Schizosaccharomyces pombe: one gene and its partners. The protein of the gene in region 1 binds, or shares a complex with, the protein of each later gene. Each region holds a gene or a part of one and is shown in the gene's direction. Other genes may lie near its edges.

Region 1 (3,792 bases):
GATTATTCAGACTAGTTCGTAGCATGCGTATATAATAATAAATTTCACTATTAGCTTACAAGTTAACGCTCTAAATCTGGATAAATAAACACTGTGCATCCATCTTGAATACTTCAATAATGACCATTCTCCATAGCTTTTTATGACTTATATTATGAACATGACCAAAAATATAATAATAAATACAATATGGACTTCATTTTAAAATTCCAATGTTTTTTAAACGAATTTGACGCTCAGCTCTTTCTTTTTTACGTCGCACCGTGGTTTTATGCTTCCTACTTTTAATATGGACATTGAACGCATCTTCTCCTATTACAGTGAATGGATCACCCCGCTTGTCTAAACATTCCTCGCAAACGAACTTCTTTTTCTGAGATTGGCGACCGTTCATTATGGAGAGATAATCTCTGGCTTTTTCGAAAGCGTGCTGATCATCAGCAGATGGAGCAATGGCATCGCCATTATAAAAAAAATATTGAAATACTCTACAAGCCTTTTCAACTTGCTCTTCCCAATTGTTCAAGTCCGTAGTGTTTGTGGTGGAAAATAGAATTGAAGAAGGGGATAAATCTTGTTGAGCCAAACACATCGGGAGGAATCGACTTTGGATCCATTTCTTCTGAGATTTTGCATACTGTCTAGTAGAAACCTTCATTCGTTCTAAACAATCATTAAAGACTATATCCGAAGGCGCTTCAAACCATGGCATGAATTCTTTAAATCCAATACATTGCCAAATCCCACGGGTGAAATCAGGAGAAAATTTTTCACTTTCAGCAAGACTCTTCATGCTTTTTATTTCATCAACCAATCCATGGCTTAGCATTTTGTCAACACGTTTATCAAGTCGCGGCATTAAGACTAAAGAATCTGCGAACGCCCAAAATATTAGAGATTTGTATCGAAGTTTAGAGCCACTTGACTTCATTTTTTGCTCAGAATAAATTTCAGATGGCGGTCGACCGGTGTGAAAATATATCTCTAGGCTTCTTCGAATTTTACGAGTATCCCGAGGATGCCATTGCTCAGCCATCACGGGATCTATCTTTTTTAAATACGAAAGCATAGCAGATGGATCATCATCCAAGATATGAGAGTCCGGATGGGGTGGCTTACTAGGTGATGAATCGTTCGTCAATTTATCAATAGCCGACAAAGTAGTATCTTCAAACAAAAGGGACTGCAAATAATAATGAGTCCCTCCAACCACAATAGGTATCTTTCCTTGACTGTGAATCTCGTCAATTACGCGGGAGGCATCTCGTTCAAACTCGGGAACACTGTATTCTTTGTCAAAGTTCAAGAAGGACATCAAGCGATGATGAACATTCTCTTGCTCTTCCACAGTAATTTTATTGGTTATAGTATCAAATCCCCGATAAATTTGCATCGAGTCAGCATTAATGACTTGGCTTCCAAACCGTTTCGCCAGCTGAACTGCTAAATCCGACTTACCAGCTCCTGTAGTACCGATGACAACGCAAAGGGGCTTTAACATTTTATAAGATATAGATTTTTACCTTATCTTCAATAGATTACACACCGAATCAAGCTTAGACTAACAAATCCATTTCCCAAATTTTCCCAAGCAAGCCTGGCTCTTTACCAACTGATTTTACCTTACATTTTGTTTTGGTTCACTATCCCCGTTCCTTTATTGCGGCGTCAACTTCGGTATATGCTTTAACGATGTTTTAATTACTGTAAACAAGTTATTACATTTTTACAGCGTTCGTATTTGTTCGTTATTAACATGTAAACACTACTTGTCGTTTCCCATCGCCTGAAAATGTCAACTATTAATGTTGAACATACCTATCCGGCTGTAAGTAGCTTGATAGCAGACTTAAAGTCAAGAAAGGTACAAGGCCCCTTTGCAGTTGCCGTTGAAACGGCGCTGGTAATGAGACAAGTGATTTCTCAAACTCGCTGGTCAACAGTTGATCAATTAATTGATACAGTCCGTGCTGTTGGATCTACTCTTGTCAAGGCTCAACCTACTGGTATGTATTTTGAATCATATTCTTTTATTGTGTTACATGCTAAACCGTGAAGAATTTTCTTGTGGAAATATTATTAGAAGAATTTTACGCTTAATCCGCGAAGAATATCAAGAATTATTAAAGACTGCTGATGAAAATGAGAAGTTAATCGTTTCTTCATCGAACTCTTCTAGCCCTTCTCAAAAAAGAGACATTCCCTCTAACGAAAAATTGGTTCAAAGTCACGAACCTGTTTCAGTTCAGATGTACTCTTCTATGCTTAATTTATTAGGTCGTCCTACTCTTGAGTCTCCCACACATAGTAAAACCGTCGGTGACAGTAGGGTCACCGGTGGCATGGATATGCGCGCTGTGATCATATCTGGCATCCAAGATGTAATCGATGAGTTGGACAAGATTAATACTGATATTGAAGTTCAATCAATGGACCATTTGCATTCAAAGTATGGTGTCATGCTAAACATCTTATCAGTTAGCTAACCTTTTTAGTGAAATTATTTTAACTCAGGGTTGCTCAAAAACTGTTGAAGCTTTTCTCCGTTTTGCCGCAAAGAAACGCAAATTTTCAGTGATTGTTGCAGAAGGATTTCCCAATAACCAAAAAGGTTCTCATGCCATGGCAAAGCGATTAGCTCAGGCTGGTATTGATACAACTGTTATATCTGATGCTACGATTTTTGCAATCATGTCACGCGTGAATAAAGTTATACTTGGTACGCATGCAATCTTGGGTAACGGAGGATTGGTAACCTATAGTGGAGCCCAATTAGTTGCTCAGGCTGCCAGGCACCATGCTACTCCCGTAGTGGTGTGTTCGGGTATTTATAAGCTTAGCCCTGTTTACCCTTATGACTTAGAATCCATTATCCAACTGTCTTCACCTGATAAAATTATGTCCTTTAATGAAGGTGATCTAATAAGCCGCGCTGAAATTTTAAACCCTTACTATGATTACATCCCACCAGACCTAGTAGATCTGTTTATTACCAATTTGGGTGGCTATCCTCCTTCCTACCTTTATCGTATTATGAATGATACTTATGATGCAAGCGATACAATTCTTTAAAGAGTTTGCATTCTATTTTCTCTTGGAAAATTGATTACCTATTAAATCAAGTTTATCAAATTTCTTTACACGTGTTTAGGTAAATATTAAAATTTTGGAATAAATAACATGGGTTACATTAGATTGAATTTTTTTAACTGTGGGTTTCTGTTGCAAGTAATACAGGCAATTAACTCAGCAAAATAAAACTTTGAAATTAAAGTAAATGGACTATGAATTTTAACGAGTTTCCTTTCATTGTCTAATGATTTGAAATATGCAGTAATTAAAAAAACTAGGGCCACTAATATACAAACCAATTTGATTACTTTTCCCTTCGTAAACTGCTTTGCACTTCCATCTCAATGTCTTTGGGACTTGCTTGTCCTCGAAGCTCTCTCATCGTAAGGCCAACAAACCACTTTATAAGGGAAGTTTTACCATTTTTCAACTCTTCAAATTGTTTTGAATGTTTACTAAGAACACTTTCTACACAAGCTTTTATTTTCTCGGAATCGCCAATGGTACCAAAATTTTTTTCTTGGATGAGAGTAGATATAGGTTTCGATGAAGGTGATTTTATCAATGAACGAAGGAAGAGTTTAGCAGATGCAGCTGTAAGTTTCTTCTTGGAAACAAGAAGTACAATGTCAGCCAATTGCAAAGGAGGAACGATATTGATGTTAGGGGAAGGGTCAATTTCACGAACTTTTCCTACTAGTTCCACAGTGATCCAGTATG
Region 2 (4,729 bases), 2.0 Mb from region 1:
TTTCTCAAAAAAAACAATAAAAAAGGATCAATAAGAATACCTTTATTAAGAAAAACTTCTTCTTTGGAAAATTAAAGAATACACTTACTGTTGTTTATTTCAGTGTTTGTTATTGTATTCACAATTATTTATTTGTTTACTTATTACATAAGGCTAGTGGATCACCTTAATCTTTCTAACTACACACACCATAAGAGTACAAAATTTTAGCAAGTATTTTGTATCAATTGAAATGTTTAACTTTACAAGACAGTATAGTGTTAAAGACGGCTTAATAACAGATGAATTGGCCAGTCACATCGTTGAGAACTTGCCAGCAAGATATGCTTCTGCTGAAACTTGGAAACGAATCTATTCGTTGCAACATGACGGCGCATCTCTTCAAACAATGTACTTAGCCTGCGAAAAGGAAAAAGCTCGAAGCGGCCATCCTAAAGGGGCTTGCATTTTAGCTGTGCGCGATACAGACGGCGATGTTTTTGGAGTTTTTATCCCTGATTATTTAATTCCTGCACCTCATTACTTTGGTTCCGAGGAAACCTTCTTGTGGAAATATTTTCCTCCCAAAAAGTATGTACATTACCCTTTCGTAGGAAATTCCAATTTTGTTGCATATTGCACCAAAAGCTTTTTGGCATTTGGTGGGGGTAATGGAAGATACAGCCTTTGGCTTGATGGCTCTCTAGAGTACGCTTACTCTAGTCGTACTCCTGCATTCGAAAACAATCCTTTGAGCTATCGTGGCTGTCCTGACCAACGAATCCAAATCGTGGACATCGAGCTCTGGGTATTGGAGTAATATCAACTAACGAATGAAAAGAAAAAAGAAAATAAAAGATGGACTCGGAAATGTGCATCAGCCCAAGTTTTATATTTATATCAAGATTAATATTTTACCGTGCTTTCTTTATGACTAATTTATTCAACCAAAGACAATTTTATGCTGACTCTATGCATTGATTATTATTCTTAATTCAAGTTAACTCGTTGATTTGCATGTTCAATCAATGAATATCGAGTTTACCAGAAATTCGAGCCGTAGGACTCTTCCCTCCCATTTGTGATGTATAGCTTTCTATCATCAGCTAATTTTTAATACTTCTTCTCAATTCCGGAAGATTACGTTTGTTAATTGATCAAGCATGAATATCCTTGCTATTAATTTCTTTACGCCTTATGCATTGAGTGAACGAATCAAATGAAGAGCATCCCCAATATCTTCTCCCCAATTGTCTATTATTTATTAATTTTCTCTTTTTCTATTCATAACTTTTAATGCTACACTTAGTATATTTATTCACGTGGTTGCTTTTCATCAACAATTCGTATCGTCCCTAATTGACGAATCGATTTCTACCATCCACTTTATATCAGTAATAATAATTATTATGAAGTTTTATTTATTATGTTTCTTTTTGATTACCGTGTAAACACTTGAAACCTGTATTCAAATCTCGATAAACTACCATAAGATTAGTAAAATGTTTGCAACCACTACCCAATTGTAGAAAACAAATTGACAAAATTTACCAACTTAACAGGATAAATCACCGTTTATATCTTCTGTTTATTATGTGGAATTTTTGTGGTTACTTAAATAAAACCACTTTCTTTCGCCAATAAACTATAAAAGAAATGAGCTATGCAAATTTAATATCCTAAATTTAATTACTCTTTGATTATTAACGTCTTTATAAATTCCTTTTTAGTCTCTAGTTGATGAATTGTTTAGAATAATCTTTAAGTTATAAGGCAGTGGAGCACGGCATCCTTAAATGACTGTTTGGGCTTAAATGATATTGAGAAATATGTCTAATCCCTCTACATTGTCGAAATGCCTCCATCCAAAGGGCTGAATGGCAAGCTAGAAAAGCCAAAACACGCTCTGCAAGGTAATGTTTTTGGGATTCAAAAAGTGTTTGTTACTAATTTTTAGCGATTGTTTTGTCGGATTCTTATAATTATCGGTTTCGCCCTCTTACATTAGATAAACCTCGCGTATGCAATTACCAGTGTACACTTTAAGTACTAATATTATTAGTGTCTTCTTCCTTTAGCAAATACCCCTTTAATAGAGTACACTTTTGAGTTTTTGGCATTGGCCGGGGTGCAAGAAGTTTATGTATTTTGCTGTGCCCATGCAGGACAAATTCGAGAATATATAGAGTATGTGCTAAATTGAGGTCTTAAATTCGAATTTCTGATACGATATAACTAACACAATATAACCCACAGAAAGTCAAAGTGGAATCTTCCCTCTTCCCCCTTTAGTGTAAACACGATTGTGTCAAGAGAATCTCTGTCGGTTGGTGATGCTTTAAGAGAGCTCGATTCAAAACAGCTAATTACCTCCGATTTCATACTCGTATCAGGCGATGTGGTATCCAATGTGCCTCTAAACGAAGTTTTGAAAGAACATCGGAAGCGCCGTGAAGATGATAAAAATGCTATTATGACAATGGTTGTACGAGAAGCAAGTCCATTTCATCGTACACGCGCCCGTACAGAGAGTTCTGTTTTCGTGATAGATAAAAAGACCAGCCAATGCGTGCATTATCAAGCTAACGAAAGGGGAAAACATTATGTTTCTATGGATCCCGAAATCTTTAATGAGCATGAAGAGTTGGAGGTTCGAAATGATTTGATTGACTGTCAAATTGACATTTGCTCCAATGATGTACCTGCCCTTTTTACTGAAAACTTTGATTACCAAGACATTCGAAAAGACTTCGTATATGGTGTTTTAACCTCTGATCTTTTAGGAAAAAAGATTCATTGCCATGTTGCTAAAGAAAATTATGCAGCTCGTGTTCGTAGTCTTCAAACTTATGATGCTATTAGCAAAGATGTTCTTTCTCGATGGGTCTATCCTTTTGTTCCCGATAGCAATCTTCTTAACCAAACTTTTAGTTATCAAAGACATCAGATTTATAAGGAAGAAGACGTTGTTCTTGCTCGTTCTTGCATTATTAAGGCACGAACTTTGATCGGTGCCTATACCAAAGTCGGTGATGCGTCTGTGGTTGCGAATACTATCATTGGTAGGAATTGTACCATAGGCAGCAATTGTAGTATAGACAGTGCTTTCCTTTGGGAAGATGTTGTCATTGGAGATAATTGTCGAATTGGCAAAGCCATTCTTGCCAATTCTGTAAAAATTGGAAATAATTGTTCAATTGAAGATGGTGCTATAGTAGCTGCAGGCGTTGTTATTGGGGATAATACAATAATTGAAAAAAATAAGCGTCTTACAACTTTCGAGAGTCACTCTCAAGGAACTTTGAACGATCCATCTTTGGTAGGGATTGGTGGACGTGGTCAAGAATATCATGCCGAAGAGGATTCTGATGATGAGGGAGAGTTTATGGAGGCTTCAGGGCTTATTGAAAGTACAAATGAGTTACATTTATCTGATTCAGAATCTTCAGAGACAAGTTCGTCTTCTGAAGAAGATATGGAATTTATTCCCTTTTCAGCTAGACGCGATTCTGCCAATACAATTAACTCAGAGGATTTCGATGAAGGAGATTTCAACAAGGAAGCTCAGCAGAGTCTTGAACGTGCCTTTGAAGAAAACCACCAAATTGATATTGCTGCTCTTGAACTCAATACCCTCCGAATGGCCATGAATGCCAACTATCACGAGGTGCGATCCGCAATTGTTCTTGCTCTTTTAAGGCGTATCATGCACTTAGATGTATCCCCCAAGGAGGCACTAGCAAAAGTAATGACACGTTGGGGTCCATTGCTTGCAAAACTGACATTTAGCCATGAAGAGCAAGTTGACAACGTATTAACGCTGCAGAAGTACTGTGTCCGTTTGAGTATGACTCGGCACTTTTTACAACTTTTGGGATATTTCTACCAATTAGAAATTGCTGAAGAGAATGCCATTCAAGAATGGTATTCTGATCCCCGCTCTAGCGAAGGAGAATTGGCTGCGCTTCGTGATGCCGGTGGCAAACAATTTGTCGACTGGTTGAATACTGCTGAAAGTGAAAGCGAGAGTGAAGAAGGGTCAGAATAATAGTTCCCTTACAAATCCTGAACTCTGACTTAAAACAGTGTTATGAAAGTGGTTTCTGTCTACTCAAAAAAAAAGGGTCACTCATAATTTAGCTGGCTATTATTTTCTAGCAAATAATAATACGATAGAGAAGAAAAATAAAATTTTGGTCTACAGGGCGCGTTGTTAAAATCCAGCACTATTCTGTTAATTACACGCATAGTTATTTACGATAATATCAGTTGGACGAATTCAATATTTTTAGCTGAAATGTAAGAAATACAACAAGCGAATGAAGATAATATAATTTGAGCAAACCGAAGAAAATAGTGGCTAAAATACAATGCAAAAACTGAAAAGTTATATTGATTATGTCTCTTCTGTACATGTTTCTAGTTGTAGTTGATATGAAAGACAATTCCGACACTGTTTGGAATTTGTGGAATTTAAACAACTAGTCATGGGATATGAAAAGCCTTTCTTCGAAAAGAAAGCCTTAACTTGAACCCCAAAGAGAACATAGATACATAGACCAAAGATTAAACCTTTAACTAAATCAAACAGAAGTGATAGATAGTTTTTTATATAAAACAAAAGTAAAAGAGACCTGATAGTAAAAATAAGAAATATATAACATTAAGACTTTTCCATCAATGTGGATGCTGTAAGTCTGCTTGAATGGGATCCTGTAACATCTGTTGAGGATACATAGGAGCATCATTC
Region 3 (4,314 bases), 2.6 Mb from region 1:
TCGAATGGGTCTACAAATATTATGATGTCTTCAAGCTTGATTGGTAACTTGGGGTGATCATTACTGTTGGTAGGGACTTTTTCAAGAGCATCCAAAACATTTAAACCACCGACAACTCGACCAAATATTGTATGTTTATTGTCCAAATGTTTCGCTGGTCCATACAATATAAAGCTATAAATCAGGTTAGCACTTGCATTTCTTTGAAGCTTTTAAAAAATAGAGAAGAAAACACTTACAATTGACTTCCATTGGTATTTTTTCCACGATTGGCCATAGATATAATTCCACGATCGTCATGCTTTAAAGGGTTACAAAACTCGTCCTTAAACGGCTTGCCCCAAATACTTTGACCACCTCTTCCAGTTCCACTAGGATCACCTCCTTGAATCATAAATCTAGCAATATTGCGATGAAAAATTGTATTACGATAATAGCCCTGCTTGGCAAGCTGGACAAAATTGTAAACAGCATGGGGTGCATAGTCTGTATGCAACTCAATATTAATTTCTCCGTGATTAGTAACAATACGCGCGTATCCTTTGTGCTTGATCCGCGTATGGTTAAGCATATAATCTTCTTCAGCAATAATTGCTCTTTCATTCTTCGTTACAGGAGTAAATGATGTGGAGGTTAAGGAAGCTGCAGCATAACCAGTTGTATGGGATGCGCGATGAATTGGCATATCAGAAGCTATAGATTTAGATGAATCGAGAGAATGCGATAACTCAGGTGATGAAGTTGACTCCGTTGACTTGGCGCGAGATGCTTGTAAAGCAATTTTGGCCTTGGTTATTTTTTCATCTCTTGCGGTTTCCTTTTGTTTTTGAATGGCCGAAAAATCTCGGTTCTCAACGTTATGAGGATCCTGGATGGTAATTATGTCGTCTCTGGTAAATTGCTCTTCGTTCACGAGATCCCTCCAATGTTTTGGTTTTATGTTCAAACGTTCAATAGTATCCCAAGAAAAACAATTCCCTGTAGAACGGATAGCCACGATGTGTGAAAAGCGCGTAAAGCTTTTCATCGTAACTGGATCACAATACTCTTCAGCACTGTTTTTTGCAAACTTGAGCTTTATTAAATCTGACATTGATGCCTTTTGTCCATTAATAGGATTAGTACCATGTTTTCGAAGCCAAGGAACAATAAATCTAACACATGTTAGCGCTCATCACCACTTTTTTATGAAGAATGAAAGATTTCCAAAAGCAACTAGATTAGTTGGTAAACAAATATCATTTAATACCAAAAAATTTGCTTCGAAACTCACATCTAATAGTGATTTACATACCTAAAATCGAAAATAATGGCTTGCTTGGTTTCATCCACAAGACAACAAGGATGGTTAAAGGGCTGCAAGGAAAGAGAGCAATAATTAAAAGGAAGTTGTTTGTAACTTGTGGTACTGTTCTTTTGGGCTATGCCACTCATACCACCATGCCACCCATGCACACCCGAATGCTCAGTTTGTGTAATGTACAGTTTGTCTGTATTTTTGCCCATTCCTGTTAATAAATATCATAAATACGTTTGTACGGTTATAAAAAATAAAAATAAAAGTTCTTAATTTTATGATATTTTAAGGCGATAAAGTAATTAATTTCTAGTAATATATATGCGAACTACAAGTATACGTTGTCGAATAGCGTTGGTGTAGTAAGGGTAAGGTCACTAAGCGCACGTTGGGTGTTATAGCTAAACTCATCTACGCTTCTACCAAAACAAACCAATTTAATAGAAATATTGATTTTCTGATGGGGTTCTCAGCAGAACAAGCAAAAAAGGATGGGAAGGATCAAAGCCCTGTTAGTGAAAGCTCTAGTGTGGGAGGAACATCTCCAGCTACAGCTTCTTCTGTCGTTTCTCCCAATGAGCCAAAACTTTCAGGGAAGGAGGCAAAAGCGTTGAAAAAGGCCAGAAAACAAGCAAGTAGAAGAGCAAAAGCCGAAGCAGCTGCCGCGAATAATCCACCCGGTGTTTCAGAAGAAAAAAAGGTAGCTATCCCTAATAAAAATAGTAACCAACAAAAGAAGGCATCGAAACAAAACCCGCAGAATAGTCCAGAAACTGATGCTAATTTGCAAGAAAAAAAGATTTTTGAGGAAAAGCAAGTTTCTATCTTTTCGCACCTCGATTGGAGACGTCGTAGAACCACTGAAAATATTCCGAAAGATATCCATCCTGCTGTTATTCGTTTGGGTTTAAAACTTGCAAATTATAAGATTTTTGGATCGAATCAGCGCTGTATTGATTTGTTGAAAACTTTTAAAATCGTCATCCAAGATTATCAAACACCCTACGGTACGACGTTGAGCAGGCATCTGACCACGCATATAAATTCTCAAATTGCTTATTTAGTATCAACTCGTCCGTTGAGTATCAGTATGGGGAACGCCATTCGCTTTTTAAAACTCGAAATTTCTGTTTTAGACATTGACCTTACCGACGACGAGGGAAAAGAATTGCTTCTGGAAAAAATTGACAGTTATATTCGCGATCGTATTATCATTGCAGGACAAGTCATCGTACAAGCAGCAACCGAAAAAATACAAGACGGAGATGTCATTTTAACGTACTTGCACTCTTCGACAGTAAACGATGTTCTCATTCATGCTAAGAATGTTGGTAAAAAATTCCGGGTTGTCGTGGTAGACTCTCGTCCAGAATTTGAAGGCCGGGTTTGTTTGAAGCTGTTGACCGAGCATGGGATTGAATGTACCTATGTCATGATTTCAGCGCTTTCCTATATCATGCAAGAAGTGACCAAAATTTTCCTTGGAGGCCATGCTATGCTTTCGAATGGTGCTCTATATTCTCGTGCCGGTACCTCTTTAATTTCCCTTTTGGGACACGAGTCTAATGTTCCAGTAATAGCGTGTTGCGAGTCTTATAAATTTACTGAGCGCATTCAATTGGATTCGTTGGTATACAATGAACTTGCACCTGGCGATCAACTTGTAAACATGGGTGTGGATGACTTTGAAGAAAAACCTGGTGTACTCGCAAATTGGAAAAGTGTTAAGAACTTAAAATTACTCAGTCTAAAATACGATGTTACTCCACCTCGTCTAATTACTGTATGTGTTTGTGAAATGGGGCTTTTACCTTCAACCTCGGTACCGGCTATCATAAACGAGTTCAAACAGGTTTATGCTTAATTTCTCTAATTTCCTTTTGTTTTTTTGTTTCGTCCACCTCAGAGGTAATTTATGAGCATATCCATGTTTGCTTCCTTGAAGTACCTTTCATTTTCCCTTTGTTATTTCTCATTCCTTTCTCAATGCTTGGAAGATTTGGTTTGTGTGAAAATAAAAAATTCATTATATTTAAATTTACAAAAGTTCATTGTTTACTCTTTTCTTAAAGGAACCTAAACTGTTCTAATTTTTCCATGTAGATTATATATTGGCATTTAAATTGTCTCAACATGATTTTTGACATATTGGTATATCCAAGGGGAGCTATTGGCATGGTTAAGAGTAATGATGTTCTTTTGTTGTATTAATGGTTAATATTTGTAGATGAAATGAAATGAGCAGGGATCGTACAATGTCATTTCATCACTTCATTTCCGGCTATAGTATGCTGATGCTTCGGATATATCGGAGAAAACTTGCAATCTCTTTTTTTTTAAGACACAAAATAGAAAGCTGTTACTCGATATTCAATTTTTTTTTTTTTAAATTATAGAACTGATGTTCGAAGCTGAAATAAAATTTTGCATCACAAGCTTTACGCTTGATGTCAGCTTATGATCTAAAACCTGTAATAATTTAAGAGCGATTCTAGTAATAAACACCAGAATTAAATATTATTTTTTTAAGAAAAGGGAAATTTTGTTCCTCATCGAAGAAAATTCATCTTCAGTATGTTTTGACCTTAGGTTTTTTTCCTACAGTGATATTACTGTATTGCAAACAAATAATAATATATATCTTTATAATATACACTAATAATTTTGCCATATCCTCCTTGGATTCCCCCGAAAAGTAACAAAAACAATGTGATGCGAAATCATCATCTCAACCACTTATCGATTTTAGAAATTCGGTTTACTGTAAAAGAGTCCTATTCTAGCCTCAGGAAACCAAGTGAATTCAAGTACTTTACCTATGGGCAATGAATAGGTTCACCGTTAGGAGCAAGTTTATAAAGTTCTCATTCCAGCTATTTAGAAATTACAGCGTTTGTCTAAATTCATCGAAATCTCTCATTCGTGTTGAAGGAGTTGATGCAGTCAAGTTTCTTCAGGGCTTAACGACCAACAAAATAACTTTAGATAATCCTGTATACACGGGCTTCTTAAATACA
Region 4 (3,841 bases), on another chromosome or scaffold:
GACAATCTCTATCAAATCCTTACCAAAAAATTTCGATTTTGAATGAAAGTGCAAGACGCCAGTTACAGGCACTCCGCAGGGAGAAGAAACGAGATATGCAGTCTCTATACATTTTGCGCAAGCGAATTTATTGTAAAAGTTGATATGCATTTTTTAATATCAGATACTACACAAAACATTTTCTGATAATCATAAAACATAAGACATTTTCAACTTGCATCTTAACTAAGCCAAATTCTACATCAATGTTATAAATTTTAGCATTAGCCATATTGGGGGAAATCGAAAGCTATTGATATTTTTATAATTGCAAAACGATTTGATAATGTAGAGAAGATATTGGAATATGTTACTCTCATCGATGAGCAGAATTAAAAGCTATGGGAGATAACGACTATTGCTATTGAAAACAAGAACTAGGCACGCAAAGAAATATATACCTTCTTTACTATAGTGCATGGTATTAGAGTTACTTAAAAGATTATTTTAACAACTTGCCGATCACGAGGTGATTCACAGATTTATAGCATAAATGAAAACCTACGGATGTCTAGCAATAAAGTTAGGATTTTACTGAAATTCGAGTCGACAACTAAAACATAATATTTTTGTAGCATCGCTTTGAATGATTGAGCATGTAAATATTTAGATATAATTGAAAGCATAGAAATTATCATAAATGATTTTCTTTAGATGCTGAAAGTAATAGCGTTTTTTCTATACCAGTTTAGTGTTCGCGTCATCCATAAATACCGAAGTAAAATCAAGCTTAATATAAGCGAGATTTACGAAGGTTGGACTAAAGATTAGTTTCTCGTAGAAATGGTCATGAACTTTTGAAAGGTCTCTTAAACATAAAATAGTTTTTTAAAAAACTTTCTATATTACTTTTTACCAAATCCAATTACTGCTTTCATCAGTACTCCTTTTTTTTTAAAATGGAAGCGTTTTGACATATTTCGTTCATGATACGCTCAACTATTAGGAACATAGTAAATTATACTACAAATTCACTATCTATACAATGATAAGTATCGTTGAACGTTACATATTGGAAATCAACAGTCAAGCATTGTTTACTGATCACCGAGGAAGAATTTCATGATTATCCTCAGATGTACTCAGTCAAGAATATGATATTAAAATTATTCTCAATATTTAGCTTTAATTAAATATAAGCTATTTAATAAACCAATTTATATGTAAATACCATTCAAATCACCTACATAAATATCTATAGGAACATATCTGTAGATCAGTATCCAAAACGCCGTATAATGTCAGCTACGCAGTTTGGTATCTGCTTTAACGATACGAAAAACTGGTGAATTTTGCATATGATCCATTATATTATAATAGCCGGGTTATATAAGTAATGACTAAGTACTGGTATTGTACTATTTAGGTTATAATGTCACCTATCACTTATAACTGAACTGCGAAATGAGGTTTAGTTGTATCTCTATCGATTCTATCCAAATAATCTATCTGTTAATATAGTATTATCAATATCAATCTCGACATCGCATCATCTACGTTGCGTATCACTATATGTCACATGTTCTAATTATATATCGTACCATGTATGATACGATATTGAGATTGATCTTAATGATAATCTATTAAGATCTATATTATCTGAATAATATAAATAGAGCTACTGCTGAACCTCGTTCCTCAGTTCAGTTATGAGCTATATTAGTGATAGGTAACATTATAACTCAGTTAATACAATACCTATACTCAGTTGCTACTTATACAACCTGTGTATTGTAATATAATAGATCACAAGGAAAACTCACCGCAGTTCTACGTATCCTTAAATCAGATACCAAATTGCGTAGCTTACAATTTAATACAAAAAGGCATTGCCCGTTATTTGATTTTGTTGGATATCCTTAAAGTATGGAAAAGATGTTGCTACTAAGCAAGAGCGTCTAGCATCTGCGAATATGGTGGAATCGGATTCTTCGGGAATCGTTCGACATTCTCAAGGAGAATTTGACATCGTCCAGGTTTACAAAAAATTTTTGCAAGATGATCCAGAAATCACGATGCCTGTAGCCGCCATTGAGGCTTTAGTCCAGCTTTTGTCGCGCTCTCAAGGTATGTTAATTTGTAGTACTCATGTGAGAAATGAATTTACTGATGTTTTTCTATTAGCCAAGACAATTTCAGAATTTATGGACATTTTACAAAATGGCTCAAATACGCTGAAGGAAGGCGTTCAAAACAACATTTCGCTTTCAGCTGGTTGTGACATTTTCCAACGGTTTGTCACTCGATCACTACACGATGTCGGGGTATGTGTTGATGCAAAGTAGTTTTCTTTTCTTTACTAATTCTCCACGGCTTTAGGATTTTGAGCAATGCAAACGTCACTTGGTAGAAAATGGAAAACTCTTTATTCAGCGTGCTCGTGCTTGTCGACAAAGAATTGCACATTTAGGTTACCCTCTTATTCGAGATGGTAGTGTTATTCTTACCCATGGGTTTTCACGCGGTGTTGCGGCTGTTCTTTTGGCTGCTGCCAAGCGTCACGTTCGTTTCAAAGTTTTTGTCACAGAATCAAGACCTAGCGGCTCAGGCTGTCTAATGACGAGAACATTAAAAAATGCTTGTATTCCTACTTGCATGGTTTTGGATTCCGCTGTAAGCTTTACTATGAACCGTGTAGATTTGGTCTTGGTTGGCGCAGAAGGTGTTGTCGAAAACGGAGGACTCATTAATCAAATCGGTACTTTCCAACTTGCCGTTTTTGCCAAACATGCACATAAGCCCTTTTACGCAGTTGCAGAAAGGTACGTAAACGTTGAATCCATTCAGCTTACAATTATTTTTCCCTATGATCTCTCCATTTCCCTGTTAATTTTAAAATTTGTACTAACGTTTTTTAGTCATAAATTCGTGCGTATGTTTCCCCTTTCTCAATATGATATTCCCTTTAGTCGTCCTATTCTGGAATTTGATGATCCATCTCCTGAAACTGTTCATCCTGAACCTGAACCAATTCCAACTCCATCAGATGCTATTCATAACGAGCTGATCATGAATGAAGAACAAATTCGAAATAATCCTACTTTGGATGTTACACCACCCGAATTTGTCTCAGGTCTCATTACCGATTTAGGGATCATTGATTCGAAGAGTGGGGTAAGCGAAGAGCTAATTAAATTGTATCTTTAGCAATCAGATTCTCCTGATCTTAAAAATAAAATATGAATAGATTGTACTTTGAGTTGACTTAAATTTCTCATAAGTCTTGTCCAACTAGATTCGGATTGAAAGTAATCTTCAAAAATACAACAGTAATACATTTTCCGATCATGCTAATTGACTGTACGACGTAACATTTTCTATGTTATTTTGTAGTATTACAATATTATTTTTGTTTCAATGCGCCCACTAGTGAAATTTTATTATTAGTTCAACAAAATTTATCTAAAAGGTATTTTTATTGAATGATTAACTTTAGTCAACAATTTTTTATTTTCTCAATCGCAACGCTGAATTTCTTTGTTTTCTGACTGATGATGCTTAAATGTGTGCTGCAAATTTGCGTCGCGTTAACCTTTCCATCCAATTTGCTATTCCACGTACACCAATCGAAATAAGTATTGATGTCGTTCAAAAGGAAAGCAGCACCTCAAATAGCACCAACAAACTTGCCGACAGGCGTTAGACTATCTTCAAAGGATGCTAGATGGATTACAAGCTCTGGGAGTTCTTCTTTTGACTACTATTTGTCTGGCGGCATTCCAATGAAAAGTTTGCTGGTTATAGAGGAAGATTCGATGGATTATGCTTCTGTGCTACTTAAATTTTTTGCAGCGGAAGGCCT

What was found.
Region 2: the proteins of tif222 (region 1) and tif225 are in contact, whole or in part, in a crystal structure (PDB 5B04), measured with the Schizosaccharomyces pombe proteins. Residues at the interface, in NP_593435.1 of Schizosaccharomyces pombe: Glu7 (codon at 1,811), His8 (codon at 1,814), Ser14 (codon at 1,832), Ser15 (codon at 1,835), Lys21 (codon at 1,853), Ser22 (codon at 1,856), Arg23 (codon at 1,859), Ala68 (codon at 1,994), Glu325 (codon at 2,863), Gln329 (codon at 2,875), Leu330 (codon at 2,878), Ser331 (codon at 2,881), Ser332 (codon at 2,884), Pro333 (codon at 2,887), Asp334 (codon at 2,890), Met337 (codon at 2,899), Ser338 (codon at 2,902), Phe339 (codon at 2,905), Asn340 (codon at 2,908), Gly342 (codon at 2,914), Ile345 (codon at 2,923), Ser346 (codon at 2,926), Arg347 (codon at 2,929), Glu349 (codon at 2,935), Leu351 (codon at 2,941), Tyr354 (codon at 2,950); in NP_594285.1 of Schizosaccharomyces pombe: Leu88 (codon at 2,252), Pro89 (codon at 2,255), Ser90 (codon at 2,258), Arg160 (codon at 2,468), Glu161 (codon at 2,471), Ala162 (codon at 2,474), Ser163 (codon at 2,477), His166 (codon at 2,486), Arg167 (codon at 2,489), Thr168 (codon at 2,492), Ile219 (codon at 2,645), Glu268 (codon at 2,792), Asn269 (codon at 2,795), Tyr270 (codon at 2,798), Asp286 (codon at 2,846), Arg290 (codon at 2,858), Trp291 (codon at 2,861), Tyr293 (codon at 2,867), Pro294 (codon at 2,870), Asp298 (codon at 2,882), Ser299 (codon at 2,885), Asn300 (codon at 2,888), Leu301 (codon at 2,891), Asn303 (codon at 2,897), Tyr308 (codon at 2,912), Arg310 (codon at 2,918), His311 (codon at 2,921), Gln312 (codon at 2,924).
Region 3: the proteins of tif222 (region 1) and tif224 are in contact, whole or in part, in a crystal structure (PDB 5B04), measured with the Schizosaccharomyces pombe proteins. Residues at the interface, in NP_593435.1 of Schizosaccharomyces pombe: Ile204 (codon at 2,500), Glu233 (codon at 2,587), Phe235 (codon at 2,593), Gln239 (codon at 2,605), Lys240 (codon at 2,608), His243 (codon at 2,617), Ala244 (codon at 2,620), Ala246 (codon at 2,626), Lys247 (codon at 2,629), Ala250 (codon at 2,638), Gly253 (codon at 2,647), Ile254 (codon at 2,650), Asp255 (codon at 2,653), Thr256 (codon at 2,656), Thr257 (codon at 2,659), Val258 (codon at 2,662), Ile259 (codon at 2,665), Ser260 (codon at 2,668), Asp261 (codon at 2,671), Ala262 (codon at 2,674), Thr263 (codon at 2,677), Ile264 (codon at 2,680), Phe265 (codon at 2,683), Ala266 (codon at 2,686), Ile267 (codon at 2,689), Ser269 (codon at 2,695), Arg270 (codon at 2,698), Ser291 (codon at 2,761), Gly292 (codon at 2,764), Gln294 (codon at 2,770); in NP_594503.1 of Schizosaccharomyces pombe: Ile122 (codon at 2,121), Phe123 (codon at 2,124), Tyr274 (codon at 2,577), Ser301 (codon at 2,658), Arg302 (codon at 2,661), Phe305 (codon at 2,670), Arg308 (codon at 2,679), Leu311 (codon at 2,688), Lys312 (codon at 2,691), Thr315 (codon at 2,700), Glu316 (codon at 2,703), Cys321 (codon at 2,718), Thr322 (codon at 2,721), Tyr323 (codon at 2,724), Val324 (codon at 2,727), Met325 (codon at 2,730), Ile326 (codon at 2,733), Ser327 (codon at 2,736), Ala328 (codon at 2,739), Leu329 (codon at 2,742), Ser330 (codon at 2,745), Tyr331 (codon at 2,748), Ile332 (codon at 2,751), Gln334 (codon at 2,757), Ala356 (codon at 2,823), Gly357 (codon at 2,826), Ser359 (codon at 2,832), Leu360 (codon at 2,835), Leu363 (codon at 2,844), Leu364 (codon at 2,847).
Region 4: the proteins of tif222 (region 1) and gcn3 are in contact, whole or in part, in a crystal structure (PDB 5B04), measured with the Schizosaccharomyces pombe proteins. Residues at the interface, in NP_593435.1 of Schizosaccharomyces pombe: Tyr137 (codon at 2,253), Ser138 (codon at 2,256), Ser139 (codon at 2,259), Met140 (codon at 2,262), Leu141 (codon at 2,265), Asn142 (codon at 2,268), Leu143 (codon at 2,271), Leu144 (codon at 2,274), Gly145 (codon at 2,277), Arg146 (codon at 2,280), Pro147 (codon at 2,283), Asn284 (codon at 2,740), Tyr320 (codon at 2,848), Tyr322 (codon at 2,854), Asp323 (codon at 2,857), Glu325 (codon at 2,863), Ser376 (codon at 3,016), Tyr379 (codon at 3,025), Arg380 (codon at 3,028); in NP_588203.1 of Schizosaccharomyces pombe: Ile40 (codon at 2,070), Ile85 (codon at 2,262), Phe86 (codon at 2,265), Arg88 (codon at 2,271), Phe89 (codon at 2,274), Arg92 (codon at 2,283), His106 (codon at 2,380), Asn110 (codon at 2,392), Leu113 (codon at 2,401), Phe114 (codon at 2,404), Arg117 (codon at 2,413), Ala118 (codon at 2,416), Leu128 (codon at 2,446), Pro131 (codon at 2,455), Leu132 (codon at 2,458), Arg134 (codon at 2,464), Tyr241 (codon at 2,785), Ser246 (codon at 2,800), His247 (codon at 2,899), Phe249 (codon at 2,905), Leu323 (codon at 3,127), Ile325 (codon at 3,133), Ile326 (codon at 3,136), Asp327 (codon at 3,139), Ser328 (codon at 3,142), Ser330 (codon at 3,148), Gly331 (codon at 3,151), Glu334 (codon at 3,160), Glu335 (codon at 3,163), Leu336 (codon at 3,166).

Annotation. Positions count from the first base shown.
Region 1 is NC_003424.3:1,671,656-1,675,447, reverse strand, and holds tif222 (translation initiation factor eIF2B beta subunit), read left to right. Parts: upstream 1-1,771; 5' UTR 1,772-1,792; coding exon 1,793-2,006; intron 2,007-2,058; coding exon 2,059-2,449; exon of another isoform or gene 2,450-2,467; intron 2,468-2,495; coding exon 2,496-3,072; 3' UTR 3,073-3,251; downstream 3,252-3,792. Other genes in the region: tit1 (tRNA isopentenyltransferase), read right to left, coding at 197-1,501; glutamyl-tRNA amidotransferase beta subunit Gta2, read right to left, coding at 3,377-3,792. UniProt on the Schizosaccharomyces pombe protein: Acts as a component of the translation initiation factor 2B (eIF2B) complex, which catalyzes the exchange of GDP for GTP on the eukaryotic initiation factor 2 (eIF2) complex gamma subunit.
Region 2 is NC_003424.3:3,668,603-3,673,331, reverse strand, and holds tif225 (translation initiation factor eIF2B epsilon subunit tif225), read left to right. Parts: upstream 1-1,825; 5' UTR 1,826-1,834; coding exon 1,835-1,892; exon of another isoform or gene 1,893-1,936; coding exon 1,937-1,998; exon of another isoform or gene 1,999-2,041; coding exon 2,042-2,166; exon of another isoform or gene 2,167-2,235; coding exon 2,236-4,027; 3' UTR 4,028-4,202; downstream 4,203-4,729. Other genes in the region: V-type ATPase inhibitor and disassembly protein in response to oxidative stress Oxr1, read left to right, coding at 233-799; stress-responsive DNA-binding transcription factor Prr1, read right to left, coding at 4,657-4,729. UniProt on the Schizosaccharomyces pombe protein: Acts as a component of the translation initiation factor 2B (eIF2B) complex, which catalyzes the exchange of GDP for GTP on the eukaryotic initiation factor 2 (eIF2) complex gamma subunit.
Region 3 is NC_003424.3:4,255,979-4,260,292, forward strand, and holds tif224 (translation initiation factor eIF2B delta subunit tif224), read left to right. Parts: upstream 1-1,721; 5' UTR 1,722-1,757; coding exon 1,758-3,161; 3' UTR 3,162-3,805; downstream 3,806-4,314. Other genes in the region: cyclophilin family peptidyl-prolyl cis-trans isomerase Cyp8, read right to left, coding at 1-174, 240-1,154, 1,295-1,506; iba57 (iron-sulfur cluster biogenesis IBA57-like protein), read left to right, coding at 4,123-4,314. UniProt on the Schizosaccharomyces pombe protein: Acts as a component of the translation initiation factor 2B (eIF2B) complex, which catalyzes the exchange of GDP for GTP on the eukaryotic initiation factor 2 (eIF2) complex gamma subunit.
Region 4 is NC_003421.2:1,464,118-1,467,958, reverse strand, and holds gcn3 (translation initiation factor eIF2B alpha subunit Gcn3), read left to right. Parts: upstream 1-1,939; 5' UTR 1,940-1,952; coding exon 1,953-2,106; exon of another isoform or gene 2,107-2,163; coding exon 2,164-2,303; exon of another isoform or gene 2,304-2,358; coding exon 2,359-2,801; intron 2,802-2,897; coding exon 2,898-3,186; 3' UTR 3,187-3,329; downstream 3,330-3,841. Other genes in the region: elongator complex subunit Elp4, read left to right, coding at 3,621-3,841.